2 linked regions of the Rattus norvegicus genome follow. The protein of the gene in region 1 purifies or fractionates together with the protein of each later gene. This does not show direct contact. Links are inferred from orthologs where the notes say so. Each region holds a gene or a part of one and is shown on either strand. Other genes may lie near its edges.

Region 1 (4,074 bases):
TGGGTGTTTTGGCCCTGAATCTGCACCTAGGCCAGGTGGGCAATGGTGGCCTGCTCTGTAGGGCAAGCGCCAGGTCTCAGGGGTCTAGCCTCCTCCCCTCCAGACACTCTAGAGGACTCTGGGGTATTTGCTACCCCTTGAAGTCCTCAGTAGGCCTTTCTGGAGAATCAGTTCTAGCTCTGGATGCCCTCATTCTCCAGTAAGAAACCAGAGTCCCTTTAACCCACTCTCTCCCATCCAACATCCTCTGGACTGGACTGGGGAGGTGTCTGGGGGCCCAAAGGCTAGCTGAAACAGTACCTCCGAAGGGGGAGCAGCCTTGGTGTCCCTCACCCTAAGCTTGTGCCTAATACCTTGGACTCTAGTCCACTTTCCCTGCTTACCTCAGTGACTAGCCTCTCCCAAAGGAGGCTGAAGCTGCTCTCCTGTCACAGCAAGACTTACTGAGAACACAGCAAGGCTAAAAGATCAACACTCCCAAGGCCCCGTGCATGCTCCAAATTCCTCAAGGTAGGAGTCAGTAGGAAGAGGCAGTTTGGTAAAAGAAGTGAGCACACTCCCCTCCCGCCGCAGCCGCCCTGCCTCCCTGGCTCTTGTAGGATGCTGGAAGCGCCTGGATGACTAAGGACGGGAGGAAGGAAGTAGGAAAGGGGATTGGGGGTGGGGGCTTAGGAACACAAGAAGGAGGCAAGGGAATAAGTACTGAAAAGGGAGAAGGAGGAAAGAAGTGTTGAAAAGTGAGAGAGGGAAGAAGAGGAAGGAGGAGAGGAAAGAAAGAAGAACTAGAGGGAAGGGTGGCAGAAGCCCTCACTTGACAGAGGCTCCAAGGAGCAAGCGCAGCCAACCAGCCTCAGTGCTCCCATTAGAAAGGTGGACAGGACAGGAGGCAACTCACCCCCAGCCGAATTATCCAGCTCCGCCTTGTGGGGTGCTGACCTTCCGGCCCCAAAGGCGCGCTGGGAGGGGCGCCTCCCCCAACCCCCCCGCAATTATCAGAACAACCCCCATCTTCTCCTTAATAAAGGGCCGCGACGTCCTCGCGCTCCCGACCCCCCTAAGTCTCTCCTCCAACTGCCTTGTCCCTAAATAAAACATCTGGCCAGCAAGGTGGCCTTCACTCTGGATAGGTGTCCCTGGCTCCGGAGGTGACCGCTGTGGCGGGGCTCCGCGCATCAGCTCCACCTGCGCGGTGGCTGCGCGGCCGGGGGCGGAGAGGCGTGCAGCGGAGGGAGGGGCCTGCGACACGGCCCCGCCACGGCGCAGCCCGGCTCAGCGCCGCGCGCGTCCCCTCGCCGCCGCCACCGCCAGGCGCCCGGACGCAGCGCGAACGGAGCGGCCGGGATGTGCGCCCGGGCCCCGGCCCGCCCCACGCTGCGGCCGCCGCCTGCCCGCCGCACGCTCGCCTGAGCGCGGCGCCCACCCGCCGGTCCCCGACCACCTGACCGCGATGCCCGCCCTCCCGGGCCCCGGCGGCCCGAGACCCTGCTAGGCTGCGGCGGCATGGCCCGCGCGCCCGGCGCGACCTCTGCGGATTGCATCGGTGTGCGGCGGCGGGGCATGCCCAGGGCACCGGGCGCGGCCTTCAATGGGCGAGGACACGGACACGCGGAAAATTAACCACAGCTTCCTGCGGGACCACAGCTATGTGACAGAAGGTAACGTACGTGTTGTCTGAGACCCCCTCCGGCCGGCCGCGGCGTGGGGATGCCGTCGCACCGAATGCCCTCCGAAGGTTTGGACCGCGCGCTGTGTGTCGTGTCCCCCCCCCCCCCCCCACCCCGACCCCGGGCCGGGAGGGAGGGAACCCAGGGGCTTCGGCCACTGCCCAGCGCCCTCCTCCGTGCCGCCCTCGGGAACGCAGCTGTCCTTCCCTCGCCGGGTGGCACTGGATCGGGCCCTGACTATCATTTACAAAGCCCAAGGCTGCAGCAAATCTGGTGTGGAAATCTCCAGGACCTGGAAAGGCTTAAAAATCCTTCATTTGCCCTTTCAGCCGGGCCAAAGCTCGCAGAAATTTCTAGATTGCCCACTCCCTGGAGAGGGACCCAGGAGGGAAAAAATTTCATTGCCAGATCCTCTAGGGTTCAGCTGCCCTGGCACCTCCCCGGCCTCCAGAGGCAGGTCCCCTGCGTGGGAGGGGGAAAGAGGCTCGTAGGGTCTACTGTTTTATTCCCGGGTAGTGTTACTGAGAAGGAGCTGGGCCAGATATTCGTGGTTTTCCGGAAAAGTGGGGCATGTTACCCCAAAGAGGCTCTGCGTTTAAAACCCCCTAAGTTGGCCCTGTGCGTCAGCCCCCACCAAAGGCTGGTGGGATGCAGAGGATCGGTGTCCTTTGCTAATGTGACAGTAACTTCCGGAGTCCCCAGCCCCTGACTGGCCACAGGAACGGTGGGGACAGCTCCAGCGCGCAGCCGGGGGCCGGAGAAGTGAATCTGCTGCAGTGAGGGAGTGCCAGACCTGGCCACAGCAACCCGCCGGCATGCAGGTGCTGGAAACCTCCCCGGGCAGTGTAGGAGCCTCTTCCCCGGGGCTGCGAGCCTGGTGGGGAGGGTGTCTAGGGTTTAAGCAGGTGGCTGACCCGGTGGGAGGGGCCCTGGCACTGAGTCCTGGGGGCCGGCGCGCGTGGGTGCCTGCTCCAACGAACCTGCGTGGGCATGGCCTCCCCAGTGCCGAGCTCCGCCGGAAATGAGGCGGGCGCGGCGACTCCCGGCGGGCGCGCGGACCCCAGAGGCAGAGGCTAGGTGTGCGACCCGGGCGTGCAGATGCTGATGCTGAGAGCGGGGCTCCGCGCGCCGAGAACCGCTGAGTCACACGTTGCCGCGGGGTGTGCGGGGAGAGGGGGTAGGGCTGCCAGGCTCGGGCTGGGTGGCGGCGCTGCCCTTACCGGGCTTTGGGAGGCTCCTGGCGCAGAACTCAGCCCTTTGTCGCCCGCTGGGTGATGCGGAGGAGGGTCGCGCTTCGCGAAGATGATTATCTGCTTACAGCCTGCCTAGCAGCAGAAGGCAGCCTGCGTGGCAGGTCGGCTGCGGGGCTTCTTGGCAGGGAGTCCTGTGCAGGGCCAGTGTTGGTCTGGCTTTCTGGAGGAAAGCCTCAGTTTTCTCATCTGCACACTGGGAACCAGCGGGCCTCAGCGTTTATGTGTGCCAAACACAAAATGCATAGTGCCCACCTCACAGGCAGGGACAGCTCAAAGGGTTGTTCCGGTCCGTATCCTTCTTCCTCTTCCTTAATAAACCCACCTCAGCAAGGTTCACAGGAGGAAGTACCTTCATGGTTCAGTGGCTGCTAGTGGCTGCTACTGCCATCCGCCAAACCTTAAGCTTTCATCGCTGGGGTTGGATGGAGGTCCCTTGCCCTCCTTCATCCCATGTTGTAGCAGAGATCCCTGTGACTTGTGGGGAAGCCTTTTTTCATATGCCTCACTTTCCCTATTTGTACAATGGGAGGAAACAAAGCCCCCTTCCCTGCCTACCTTCGACCTGTAGAGGTGATTGACAACTGAAATGTCTTGAGCACCTACTGTGCCCTAATGCTTCACATAGGGCCTGGTGGAAGGTCTCTTCATGAGCCCTGGGCAGTGGGCAGTGTGTGTAGGACACAGGACTCAGATGTTTCTACCCCTCAGGGATGTAGAAGAGTAACGTTTATAGAGTGAAACTCCCTTAGAATCTAACTGAAAGGAGTAGGGAATTTAAACGAAGGTGTCCCATACACACACATACACACACACACACACACACACACACACACACACACACCAGTCACACTATAGGATCCCCGAGTTCAAGGTCACAGATTTTGTCTCCTGGCCTACAAAATTATGTTCAGCCTCCCTGGATGAGTCACTGGGCTTCATTTGTCTTCTCTGTAAAGGGAGAAGTCACAGTGGCCTCTAGCTCAGGATTGTTGAGATGGCAGTAGCCCTGAGAGTGTCAAATGCTCTCAGATAGGATCGGGCCTCCTGGAGGTATTTGATAAATGTCACCAGAGTCATCGTGTCCTAGAGACTTGCTTTGCACAAGACCCACGTGTATGCCTTCCCATTCCCACCTGGAGGTAGGCCCCTTGCTCACT
Region 2 (4,085 bases), on another chromosome or scaffold:
GGTGAGTGGTCAGGATCTAGATGCAGACTTGGATTTCAATATTCAATAAATATTTGTAAAAAAATTTTTTTAAGGAGAGAAAATGGAGAAGAACCTCATGTTATTACTGACCATACGTTGTGGTTGCTACATGTTATAAATGTTTTCTCTCCTTCTCTATGTGGACTGAGAATTCCTGGAAGGGGGGAACCCTGGGCTTCAGTTATAGCAGGGATAATGGCCAAAGCTAGCACCCCAAAGCATCATATCTGAGCGCATCCTAGTTGTTAACCAGCTCTAATCAAGCCTACCTCACTAGTGTTTCTTCTACATAAATACATTGGTTAGGAAAACCCTACTGTAGGATGAGGTAAACTTTTCACACTAATAGACTCTGTGTAAGCTGTGGTTAATTTTATTATTTAGATTACCTCTGGGAGCTGTCATTTATCTTCTGTATAATAAAGAAGGTATATACATGATTTTTCCTTTTTAGATTTGAAACTAAAGGGCCATGAGGCAATTTACTGAGTCATCAGGCACCAGTACCATCTTGTCGTGGTCTTTTTGACAGGAATTTGTAAGACTCAGTGGATGGACTACATTGACTAACCAGGAAAATTTTAGGAACTTTTGCCCATACTTGACACAAAACAAATTTACATAATCAATATGGGGAACCAGAACTTCTTTATTTGTATTTTTAGAACTTACTAGATTTCCCCAAGAATAGATCAATTACTTACTGTGCATTTTTTTAAACAGACAAAACCATTGTGGAAAAGTAGGTAACATCTTCATTTAATCTATACTGACAACTGAGAATCTGAGGAATGGAATGAAATATGCCAGCTTTGGACGAGAACCAATAACTTTGTGCCTGAATTCTGTTCCTTGATAAAGCAGAAGCTTGGAAATTTCTATAAACTCCCCTTTTTGTTTGTAGTCAAATGCTGAGTGTAACGCTAATGGGAAAGGGACTAACTCCAAAATAATATCTCAAATATATCGTGGTAGTTGTCATATATTGCCATCGCTTCCGTTTCTGCCAAGAATGACCAGAAGTTACAGCTGTACCAGCTGTAAGCAGCTGGAAATTGCTCATGAAAGGAACCGAACTTTATTGTGCAGTAGATTCCAACACACTAAACGGATGAAAGCCCCAATAGTTCGGTTCCTTACAGTGTGCCAATGTACTTCACAAAGCGGAATTCCTAACTACAAACAGTTCTGTGTGCTTCGTTCTACCACATCACCCGCTCAGAACACAAATCCCACCGCACTTGATCAAAGGGTCGCCTGCGATCTCCCCCTTTAAGAGCTTGCTCCGCGGGACTAACGTTTGAACCGGCCCCGGGGCTCCTCCTCTGCCTCTGATTGGCCGGGGGTGGCGCACGAGGCGCATCGGCCCGCCCAGAACGGTTGGCGGCGCTTTGTGATTGGCGTTCGCGGAGCATATATAAACCGCGGTGTGGCCCCGCACCGCTCAGTTTAGAGGCTGGCCCAGAACGGGTCTGTTGACTGAGGAGAAAAGGCGGAGGGAACTACGCATCACTAGATCTTTTCTCCACCGAGCTTTCACACGCTGAGGGTACAACCACAGAGGCGAACCTGTTCCTGCCTCTCGCGCCTCTCTCAGCTTTAGAAGGCAAGCAGGCGTTCACCCCGTCGTCTGGAAGAGGAGGCAGGATGGAGTTCAAGCTGGAGGCTCACCGTATCGTCAGCATCTCCCTGGGCAAGATCTACAACTCGCGGGTCCAGCGCGGCGGCATCAAGCTGCACAAGAACCTCTTGGTGTCGTTAGTGCTGCGCAGCGCCCGCCAAGTCTACTTGAGTGACCCCTGCCCTGGCCTCTACCTGGCCGGCCCTGCGGGGACCCCGGCGGTACCGCCGCCACAGCAGCCCGGAGAGCCGGTAGCGGGGCCACCATCTGGCTGGGGAGAGCCGCCCCCACCGGTCGCCCGCGCCGCCTGGCCGGAGCCCGAGCCGCAGCCTCAGCCTCAGCCTCAGCGTCCCTCGGTGTGCCACACGCCGGGAGCGGGAAGCCCAGAACCGGTGGCCGCGGTGTCCGGAGCGGAGGACGCTCTACGGGGCGGAGAGGAGGACTCGGCGGCAGCTGCTTGGGGCCGCGTGGAACGTCCGCGCGTGGCGCCTTCTGGAGGCAGCTCGGACGCGTGCTCCGAGGGGCCCCGGGCACTGCGCCGCCCGTGTGGCTGTCCGTCGGCCGTGGAGGAGCGGTCCTCAGAGAACGGGTCCCCGGCGCCAGCCGCCCCGTGTCCCAGGAAGCGTGGCGCAGCGGGAGTGGGTGGCGGCCGCGCGGGCTGCTCCGCGCCCGGCTCTACCCCTCTCAAGAAGCCGCGCCGGAACTCCGAGGAGCAGCCGGTCACCGACGAGGAGGACACCGACGAGGAGATGGAAACCGGGAACGTGGCAAACCTCATCAGCATCTTCGGGTCTAGCTTCTCGGGACTCTTACGGAAAAGCCCTGCGGCCGGGCGGGAGGAAGAGGAGGCGGAGGAGGGCGGCCCGGAAGCCTCCGAGCCCGGGCAGATCTGCTGCGACAAGCCGGTTCTGAGAGACATGAGCCCCTGGAGCACAGCCATCGTGGCCTTCTGATCCCCCGGGACCTGAGCGGCTGGAGCTTGAGCAGCGGGAGTCCCCGAAGTGCGGCCGGGGCCTTTCCCGGCCGCGAGGACGAGCCGAGACCGTAGGCGCTGGGCGCGTAAGGGAGACTGGTTGCTGCCGGGCAGCACATCGCCCCGGAAGGGGCAGCCCGGCTGGGCCGTGGCTCTCGAGTCTCATCCTGAGACCTAGAGTGGGAGGCTTATTGGAAGAGGACGATCGATCGTTAACTTTTGTATCAGTGTGTGTCCATGTGTAAGTTTGTCTTGTGTTGAGACGATTCTGTGGTTCTGGAATGCACCACCCCTTCCCCGTTCTCGAGACTTTGGGGGTGCAAACAGGGACTTTCCTCTGCCAGCAGCACAGAAAAGGAAGCTGCTGAAAGGTTCGAGACAGGGGAGTTCCCCGATCGATCTTGGGGAAGAGAGGGACTTTACACACAACCTCTCTCCTGAAAGCTAGGACCACACCGGGGCGCGGAGTGGCGTTTTCTCACAGGATTTCCCCAGACTAGAGGGAGTTCGTCTGGAGTAGAGACTTGTATTATTTTTCTTCCTCCCCATCTTTCTCTGGCACAGAAGAAGCGCTTCTACCCTGTGATTACTCTGGGAAAGCAGAACATTAAGGGACCTTCAATTCCCCACAGGGGAAAAAAAGCTTGCTGAACTTCACAGAAGAGTTCAAGCTTGGAAATATGGAGTTTATAGAGAAAAAGATATATTTTTAAAAGCTCTAGCTCAGAACTTACTACACAGTGCTTTTAAAAAGTGTTTAATGAAACAAAGTTTACAGACGAGCTCTAAGTGGAAGGACCTTATGGTTTTGTAGATACGGTGACTCCAGTCTTTGTTGTATAAAGGTTGGGGGAGCTGATAAGGTTTTTGTACAGTATTTTCTCCTCCTCTGTATTGATTTTTGTATAAAAATGTAACTTTACGTGTCTAACACGTATTAAATATTTTGAAGCAACTCCACTACCTGCTTGTATGTATGTAATCACTTGTCTGGGTTTCCAACCAGGTGGGGGGAGGGGCAGCCAGGCTGGGAAATGGAAGGTGTGGTTCTTCGTATCAGCCAGTCACAGGCTAGGGACATTGTTGGCTGACTAGAATAAGTATCAAGAGAGACACGTTTAAGGGTTTGGTTTGGTTTTTTTGTTTTCACGCACATCCCCATTCACAGGACTAATAGATACTGGAATTAATGACTGGCAGTTTGAAACCTGCCACTGAAACAGCTTTCTCTGTAGTCATGGTTTTCTATAGTTTGACTTGATGGAATCTTTAATATTAAATAATACTAAACGCCAAGTTTTACAGCCTTTCCAATATCAAGTATTTCCACCAAAACTTTGTTTCCTAAACAGATCTGGTAATCTATTAGACCATGGGTCACTTTGTAGATTTGAATTGGGGTGGGAGTGGGGTTTAGAAAGCAACTTTAGAGGTCTTAGTAGGACCAGTCATGAAGAAACCGATGAGATT

What was found. The genes of interacting proteins can lie anywhere in the genome.
Region 2: the proteins of Ppp2r2c (region 1) and Ier5 purify together in Homo sapiens (affinity purification with mass spectrometry; 3 studies listed by BioGRID and IntAct, counting the BioPlex papers as one, with this or other methods). This does not show direct contact. The link is inferred for Rattus norvegicus from reciprocal best matches to the Homo sapiens genes PPP2R2C and IER5.

What each region holds. Positions count from the first base shown.
Region 1 is NC_086032.1:78,153,413-78,157,486, reverse strand, and holds the start of Ppp2r2c (serine/threonine-protein phosphatase 2A 55 kDa regulatory subunit B gamma isoform), read left to right. Parts: upstream 1-1,274; 5' UTR 1,275-1,585; coding exon 1,586-1,655; exon of another isoform or gene 1,656-1,704; coding exon of another isoform or gene 1,705-1,732; intron 1,733-2,458; exon of another isoform or gene 2,459-2,485; intron 2,486-4,074. UniProt on the Homo sapiens protein: The B regulatory subunit might modulate substrate selectivity and catalytic activity, and might also direct the localization of the catalytic enzyme to a particular subcellular compartment.
Region 2 is NC_086031.1:69,819,940-69,824,024, reverse strand, and holds Ier5 (immediate early response gene 5 protein), read left to right. Parts: upstream 1-1,482; 5' UTR 1,483-1,668; coding exon 1,669-2,595; 3' UTR 2,596-3,575; downstream 3,576-4,085. UniProt on the Homo sapiens protein: Plays a role as a transcription factor. Mediates positive transcriptional regulation of several chaperone genes during the heat shock response in a HSF1-dependent manner. Mediates negative transcriptional regulation of CDC25B expression.